Linked DNA regions of Oryctolagus cuniculus. The protein of the gene in region 1 interacts with the protein of each later gene in a pairwise test. Links are inferred from orthologs where the notes say so. Each region holds a gene or a part of one and is shown on either strand. Other genes may lie near its edges. The genes, in order: RBM10 and RBM12B.

What was found.
Region 2: the proteins of RBM10 (region 1) and RBM12B interact in a two-hybrid assay, tested with the Homo sapiens proteins (3 studies listed by BioGRID). The link is inferred for Oryctolagus cuniculus from reciprocal best matches to the Homo sapiens genes RBM10 and RBM12B.

Annotation. Positions count from the first base shown.
Region 1 is NC_091453.1:32,712,092-32,715,900, reverse strand, and holds part of RBM10 (RNA-binding protein 10), read right to left. Parts: intron 2,340-3,809; coding exon 2,279-2,339; intron 2,118-2,278; coding exon 1,941-2,117; intron 1,550-1,940; coding exon 1,389-1,549; intron 1,216-1,388; coding exon 1,118-1,215; intron 1,031-1,117; coding exon 943-1,030; intron 188-942; coding exon 1-187. UniProt on the Homo sapiens protein: Binds to ssRNA containing the consensus sequence 5'-AGGUAA-3'. May be involved in post-transcriptional processing, most probably in mRNA splicing. Binds to RNA homopolymers, with a preference for poly(G) and poly(U) and little for poly(A).
Region 2 is NC_091437.1:119,183,474-119,187,821, forward strand, and holds the start of RBM12B (RNA-binding protein 12B), read right to left. Parts: upstream 3,010-4,348; coding exon 2,857-3,009; exon of another isoform or gene 1-2,856.

The DNA.
Region 1 (3,809 bases):
CTGCTCCAGCTGGGTCCCCTTTGGTTCCAGTGATGCCAGGGCCCTTGGTGCCCTTGAGATAGCCATGGGCATAGAGGGAGGACTCTGTGCCCTGGCTGCTGCCATAGCCCTCATCCTGTTGGTAGTAGCTGTAGTCGACCGGTGGTTCCTCAGGGGTGGCCCAGGCACCCTCCCCACCCTGGGAGGCCTGAGGGGCAGGTGGGAGGGGCTCATTAGAATAGGAAGGGGCGCAGGAGGTGGGGGTGGGGAGCCTGCTAGAAGCCGGCTGTCCCATACATAGGGCTAGTGTTTCTACTTGACAGTAAAACATGCAGCCTTAAGATAACTGGCCGCAAGAGAACAGAGCAGTACCAAAAACAAGACTGCAAAAAAAAAAAAAAAAAAAAAAAAAAAAAAAAATCCACGCACACCCAGGTGCTTCCAGTGCTGGTACTGGTATGTGCGGTACAAGTGTCGGGTGTTAGACTAAGGAAGCCACCATCCTCCTTTATTCTCTTTCTCCCAATTTTTCTCAATCACTTATAAATTCCTCTTTATTCAGCAACATTGATATATACATACATACATATATATATAACCTCAATATGGAGTATGCAATACATTGCATGAATCCAGAATAATATAAATGAATATATATACATACATACGTACATACATATACACACATGAAAAGCCCCACCCAATAGAACACAGCAGCAGCCAGGGCCCTGCTCGAAGTGACAGCCCAGGAGGTGACTGGGAAGCAGCTGTGGTGAGGACAGGGAACGTATGAGGGGTGGGGTCTAGAGAGCCGAGAGCAAGGTAGAGAGGGGCCCACACCAGCCAGTGTGAAAGCATTCTGCATCCATGGACAGCAAGTCAGCCCTTCCGTTTGAGCAGAGGGCACAGGAAAGTTGAGAAAGCCCAGGTGCCAGGATGCTGAGGGGTGAGGGGTCTGAGTACCTGTGAGATGGCCCACTGGGCCGCAGCAATGGCAGTGCTGGCCACAGAGGCAGCATTGATGCGACTGCCTTCGTTGGAGGCCATGTCCCTGGGAAGGACAGTGGAGACTGGGAGTAAGATGGGAGGCTCCACGCAAGTTGGGATAAGCTGGGCAGGACGTGGGTGGGGTCCTGACCTCTTAGAACCCTTGGCAAATTCAACATTGATGGTCTTGCCGTCGATGGTGAGTGGTGGATGCAGGGCCTGCAGGATCTGCAGCAGCTGAGCAGCCTCCTGTGCGGGTGGAGGGGAGGCAGGGACAGAAGGGTCAGGCCCGGGGAGGCCCCCGGCTCCATTGCCCCATTTCCAGGCTTGGGACCGCGGTGGGAGGCAGGGGAAGGATCCCTCCTCCCCACCCCCGGGGGCCGGGACCCTGGCTGCCCGGCCCCCCCCTGTGCCGCCCTCACCACGATGGTGGAGAGCTGGATAAAGGCAAAGCCTCGGTTCAGTTGGGTTTGCTTGTCCTTGATGACGCGCACGTTGGAGGAAGACAGCACCGCGTAGGGTGCCAGGGCCCCCAGGATGGAGTCCATAGTGCTGTGTGGATTCAGGTTACGCAAAATGATGGCTGTGGGAAGGGGGTTCAGCATTAGAGGGCACCCCTGGCAGCCTGCTTCAGCCCCTCTTTGGTGGCTCCCCACTGTGCCTTGTTCCCTGGCCTCCAGCCCTGTGCACCTGCTGCTTCCCCTAGGGGACACATTGACCAGCAGTCCAGGTACCAGCTTGATCCAAGTTCATCTACCAAGAAATCTTCCCAACACTTCTGGCCACCATTCTGCCCCCTCCCCAACTTGCTACCGCTTTGCTCATCCAATGTCACAGGCCTATCACTCCACCAGGTGACAACCCAGCGACTCTTGTGAGGATCACGTTCTGCTCACTACCATTTCTCTGGTCTTGATGGGCTCAGCCCAGAGACCCTGGGGCACAGAGAAAGAAGGGAAGAATAACTGACTCACTGTCATTGGCGTTCTCGGAGCTTGGCTCAGAGCCTTGGGACAGGGCTTGGGAGGCCAGCACTCCCTGGGCCTGGTAGGGCTGCGGCAGGGGGAGCAGGCCCTGGCTCAGCTCTCGTCCACCCAGGGGTAGCGTCTGCTGATCCAGCCTTGTGCCGAGGGGCAGCTTCTGCTCTGCCTCTGTCGAGGAATGGGGGGGAGGTAGGACACGGGCTGTTGACAAATGGGGAGGCTCCTTGGCTCCCCTTCCTCCCCAAACCAACCCTCGATCAATCCCTGGCCCCTTAGTCTCTACTCACCCCAAGTCCTGGGGGGGGAGGGGAGAGGTATGTGGGCCTCACCTGACTTGGGCACGCCACATTTGAAGCACTTCTCACGGCGTTTGAAGTTCTGGACACCACACTGTGAGGCATAGGCCAGGCCGTCAGAGGAGGCAGGGCTTTGCACTGCACCCTCCAAACTTGAATCCAGAGATTCCCCCAAGGAACCCAGCAACATCCCAGGAAGGTCCTATAGTTAGGGGTGCCAGGAGCCTCCTGGCACACGCTCAGGCCTGTGAATCTTCCCTTTACACATCTCAAAGTTGTCCTCAGTGCCAGTCCCAGCTCAGGAATCATCAGCTCCCCGACTGGTTACAACTGTTGCCTCCTCGGGGCTACTGCTCAGTCCCTTCGGTAGGTTCCTGCTGCTGCAACATGCTTCTCTATTCAGAAACCTTCAACGTTTCACACCTCTTGTCAGACCCTAACTCCTCCTCTATCTCCAGGGCCGCACTGGCTCCTGCTACTGCTGAGAAACTTTCCTTGGCTATTTCGGCCTCCGGAGGCTTCCCGGCTTCCACCACATTCTAAATCTGTTCCAGCGTCAGGTACCCAGCACTGCTTCTGTGCCAGGCCTTGCCGCACATGGACAGGGCAGGGCCTCTCCCTCATGACCAAGGAGCACAGAGGGGCAGGTCAGTCATCACAGACTGCCACCCAGGGTGGGCTGGGGAGGTGCTCAGGAGGAGACTAAGCCAAGAGAGGGGTACAGGCTGCTCACCTGGGGACAGTCAGGAAGGGCTGCACAGAAGCAGGCATGTCTGATCTGGGGTGCCCATAAGTTTTAGTTTGGCTGGGAAGGGATACCCAACAGAGGAAACAATGGATTTCCCATAGCTGATGTAGGAGGGGAAGGGAGGGCTGGGGAGGGAAGACACGGCTAAGTCATGGAGGATCTTCAGCTTCAAATTGAAGTTGAGGGTTTTGAGCAAGAGAAGGAGTGGCGTGGCTGGAGCTGGTTTCCAGGAGCGGGGCAGGAGAGTGGGTATGGCACGGGAGGAAAGGGGAAATTTCCATCGCTTGATGCAATGGGCCCTGGTGCCCAACGGGATGGGAGGGATAAAGGAGAGGAAGGCGTCAAGGAGATCGCTCTGGTTCAAGGAACATCTGGAAACACAGGAGGGATGGCGCTGAGCGCCTGCCCTCTGATAGGCCTGCAACAACAATAGATGCCACGCCCCCAACTAGGCACAGCACTTCTTGAGAAGAGGGCAGGAGTCGCAACAGCTCTCCATCTTCCTACTGGGCCTCAGACGGACAGACAGCTGTGGAATCCCAAAGCTGGCTCTAGGGTGGACCTGCCGCCACTGTGGCACCCAGGGGCCTTGGCATCAGGAGCGAGTCACAGCTAAAGGCTGACCCGGGTCCCACTTGGCCGAGCCCAGCTTCCTCTTAGGGGAGAGGGAAGTGACTACAAAACCTACATGTTCTACCCTCCAGTCTCATCAAGCTCGAGTCACTAGGCAGGGGCTCTCAGAACACTCCGTGCTTTTCTATCACGATAACAGTTAATGCTCAGCCTGTTTGCTCTGGGTCAGCTTGTGTTGTCCAA
Region 2 (4,348 bases), on another chromosome or scaffold:
CACATAGAAAATGTTGAGATCCAAAATTTTTCTATGACAATAGACTTACTCAATTTTGAACAACTATCCATACTCTTGAGAAAACCCAATATAAAAATTCATTAATTTTAGATACCAGGTTTACCAGTATTAACTAAATTTGGTGTTTTTTCAATTCATTAGTTATTTGAGACAGCTTCTATAGGCTGGTTCACTTTCCAAATATCCACAGTAGCCAGCGTTGTGGGGGGGGCTGAAGCTGGGAACTGGGAATTCAATCAAAGTCTTTCATGTGTGTGGCAGGAACTGAAATACTTGAGCCATCAGTTGCAGCTTCCCAGGGCTCACGTAAGAAAGAGGCCAGAGCCAGGTATAGAACCCAAATACTCCAACTTGGGACACAGGTGTTTAAACTGAAAATACCTGCCCCTTACTACCTTTTTAAGGAAACTTACACTTACTACTTTCAGGGATAACCAAACTAACAGTACCTAACAAAGTATTTTTGAATTATTTATTTAACTTGAAAAACTGAGATCTCTCATCTGCTGGTTCACTCCTCAAAAGCCTCCAACAGCCAGGGCCAGGCTACAGTGAAGCCCAGAGCCCATAACTCAAACTCCACTACTTAAGCCATCACCTCCTGCCACCCAGAATGCACATCAGCAGGAAGCTGGCAATGGAAACAGAGTTGGGTCTTGAACCCTAGGCACTCTGATATGAAACTGGGCTTCCCAAATATCTATGCCAAATGTTTGCCCATTTTCTTTGAAGTCTTGCTAATTAATCAAGTTTTAAGACCTGCCAACTGAGTAACTACAATTTACATATTTTAATATGCAAATAAATGTTGCTTTAGTCCAGTGCTCAAATTACAGTACCACTGTTCCAAAATAGGGTCTGAGACATATTCACTGAGGTGTGCAAGACTATTTTCCTTTAAAAATAGTCTACAGATTAAACTATCTATAAGCTAAATAACAGAGATAACAAGATGGCATGTTCCACATCTGAAAAATATTGAGGTTTACTATTAATTTATCTGCACAGTATCATAAAAGAAAGAAACAGTGTAAGCCCTCTCTCTTCAACTAGTCAATATACACACCAACAATTCAACAAAAAGTACAAATGACTTCTAAAACATGTATCTATGTTAAGGTTCCAGACTGCCCCCCCATAAGCATAGACTGGCTTAGCTGCTTTTTCAACATTTTAAAAAAGCAAATTAACTCTCTTAATTTTTTTAATTGCAAAGGTATTTATTTACTATGAGAACTAAAATTCACCTACAAATGAATTAGAGGATTGACAAAGATCAGATTTTGAGCAATAATTTAATCATGTCAATTTCAGAAAACTAGTAATTTATCCTTCTTAACTTAAAAACTACCTTCTTAACTATTTTAACTCTCAGTAACTAAGCAGTTTCATAAAAATAAAACTTATGGACTCCAGGCAGACTAGTTTGTTCCTAATGGTTAAGTTAAATATATCTAATGCTTAAATGTCTTTGCCCATGAGATAGTAAGGTAATGTACTACCCCTCCATAACACACCTAGGAGACTATCTGGAGACCAACTCTCAAAATAAATACTTCTCCTGCAGTTTCAAAATATCATTTCCTTAAGAAAATTCACCAGAAACTATATTCCTAACAGCAAATTACACAAAAAACGAAACACACAAATTAACCTAAGGCACTCTGCACTTAACATTTTTCTAATGTGAAAGCAAAAGTATTTTTATCTCCGCACTGATTGAAAGACACAGTGATCTGTTAGAACATCTGTGAAAAATAGATCCTTTGAAGTTAGGTAAGTCACTGAAATTCAAAATACATTTTAAGTAATTCAGCTCGTTTTATCCAGCAATTCACCCCATTTAATACTTATTATAACGCAAAATATGAATTAAGACTGAGCAGAAAACAGGGAAACTGGATTTAAGTAGTGTAGTCTCAGATCCATTGGATTTTAAATAGTGAATAAAGTCGTTTTCCAAACATGGAGAGGGAGAGAAATTCTTTTACTTTTTGCCTGTGATTATTTCTTAAAACCCAAGGTTGTGATGAAGCATATTCAAATTCTAAATACGAATTTCTCCTGCAGAAAATAATGTCCCCCAGTCCACAATTATTCTTTATGATGATCTGCCTTTTATAATGTAGATGGTTAATATAAAAGCCAAAGGCATGACCACACAGAGCCAGAGTCCTCAATAGGAACTGTAAGTGAAGACGAATCCATCATACGGCACAGGGTTTCCCATAACATCCATCATTCTCAAATGGTAATCATCCGAAGGCATCGCTTCTATAGCCCAAAGCCTTTGTCCATACTCCCAGAGGTCAGAGCTTCCTTCTTTCACGCCAGGCCAAAGTTGCTACGTGGGATCCGATGCTGTCGCCAGACCTTCAGCCAAAATCAGCCTTCAAATTAACCTGCACCGCCCAACCCCCGTGCATCTCCGTTACGCCGTCCCAAGGGCAAACGTTCCACCCCAACTCGCCACAGGGTGAACAGCTCCCAAATCTGAGATACTTCACCCATCTCAAGCTTAACGAGCTGGGCCTTCAGAGCTTTTCTGCCACTACCGACTACGATGACATAGCAAAGAAAAAAATACCTATGAAATCCTTCGAGATCTTCTCTCAAGATCGCTGGGAAGCGCACACACACCACCACATGGAGGCTGACGGGAGAGGGAGAGTTGGTGTTTAGCAAGAAAAGAGGGTGCCCTAACGGCAGAAGCTACGCTACAACCTGGCGCGGCCGCCGGCCCCGCCTTTCCCTGTTCTTCCGTCTCGGTCGCCAACCCCTCCCCGGCCCCATGCCCCAAGGGTAACTGCTTCGCACTTGGCAATAAACACACACCACTGCTGCCGAGTCGGACACACAAGGCCGGGGGCCGGGGTCTCCTCGTCGCGGCAGCCTCCACAGAACAAGTACAACCCTCAGTGAGCCAAGAAGATGGCGCCCACTCTCCCCTCCGGTCCGGACAAACGGACGTACAGTTTGTCTGCCCATGCGCTCTCCAGGCGTAACCCACCACCCCAGCGCCTTGGCCACGCCTGCGCACGAGCCCTGACGCGCACCCGCTTCCCGTTGTTAGGGCTGGGAAGGCGGAGCCTTGTGTTGCCAAGCTTCTGCGCACGCCCAGATTCTAGCCAATCCCGGAGCCTCGGCCAGGAAAAGGCAAAATTCGGAGACAAAGTTGGCGGAGTCAGGGAGGGCGAGGTTGGTCAAGTGCTTGTTGTGATGAGACTGTAGCGGCTAACTGCTAAGTACAGCGAGCAAACTTTCAAGATTTCTAGGAGCTATAGAAAGAGACACAAAAACAAAAAAGTTGGCTATTTCTTGTCTTGTCAATTCTGCGATTACCGTGTGGGGTAAGCATTCTGAGACTTGAAAGCTCTAAAAAGCCACAGGAATGTTGATTTTACCGCCTTACAAGTTCGCCAAATATTGCAATGCCTGAGGGCTTAATAACTGCATGTTGCTTAATCGATTTCACCGACATTAATAACCTTGCGACGTGTCTTTATGAATGTGTTGCTGGGGCCGGTAGGCTAAGCCTCCGCCTGCGCGTCTGCATCCCAATCCCGGCTGCTCCGCTTCCGACCCAGCTCTCCAGATGGACCAACTGCTTGGGCCCCTGCATCCGCGTTGAGACCCAGAAGGGGCTCCTGGCTCCTGGCTTCAGATCAGCTTAGATTTGGGAAGTGAACCTGTGGATGGAAGAACTTTCTCTCTGTCCCTCCCTTTGTGACTCTACCTCTCAAATAAATAAATAAAATCTTAATACATACATATATTTTAAAAATTGTTGCCATCTTCTATTTTTTTTGTTTTTGCAGCAATAGATGAGCCAGTCTGGAAAATTGAAAAACAAGGGCTGGCATTTTGTTGCAGAGGGTTTAACCTCTGCCTGGGATGGCCATAATCCCATATAGGACCTGGTTGAGTCCTGGCTGCTCCAATTCTAATCCAGCTCCCTGTTAATGCGCCTGAGAAAGCAGCAGAAGATGCCACTAGGGAGACCCAGATGTCCTTACAGGCTCCAGGTTTCAGCCTGGCCCAACCCCCACCCATTGCAGTCATTTGGGAAGTGAACCACCCAATGGACAATCTCTCTCAGTCTTCACCACCTCTCTCTCACTCTCTCTGTAACTCTGCCTTCCAAATAAGTAATAAATCTTAATTTAAAAAGAAAAAAGAGGAGCCGATGCTGTGGCACAGCTGGTAAAGCCACCACCTGCAGTGCCAGCATCCTATGTGGGCCCTGATTCAAGACCCAGCTGTCCCACTTCTGATCCAGCTATGCTATGGCCTGGGAAATCCATGGAAGATGGCTCAAGTCCTTGAG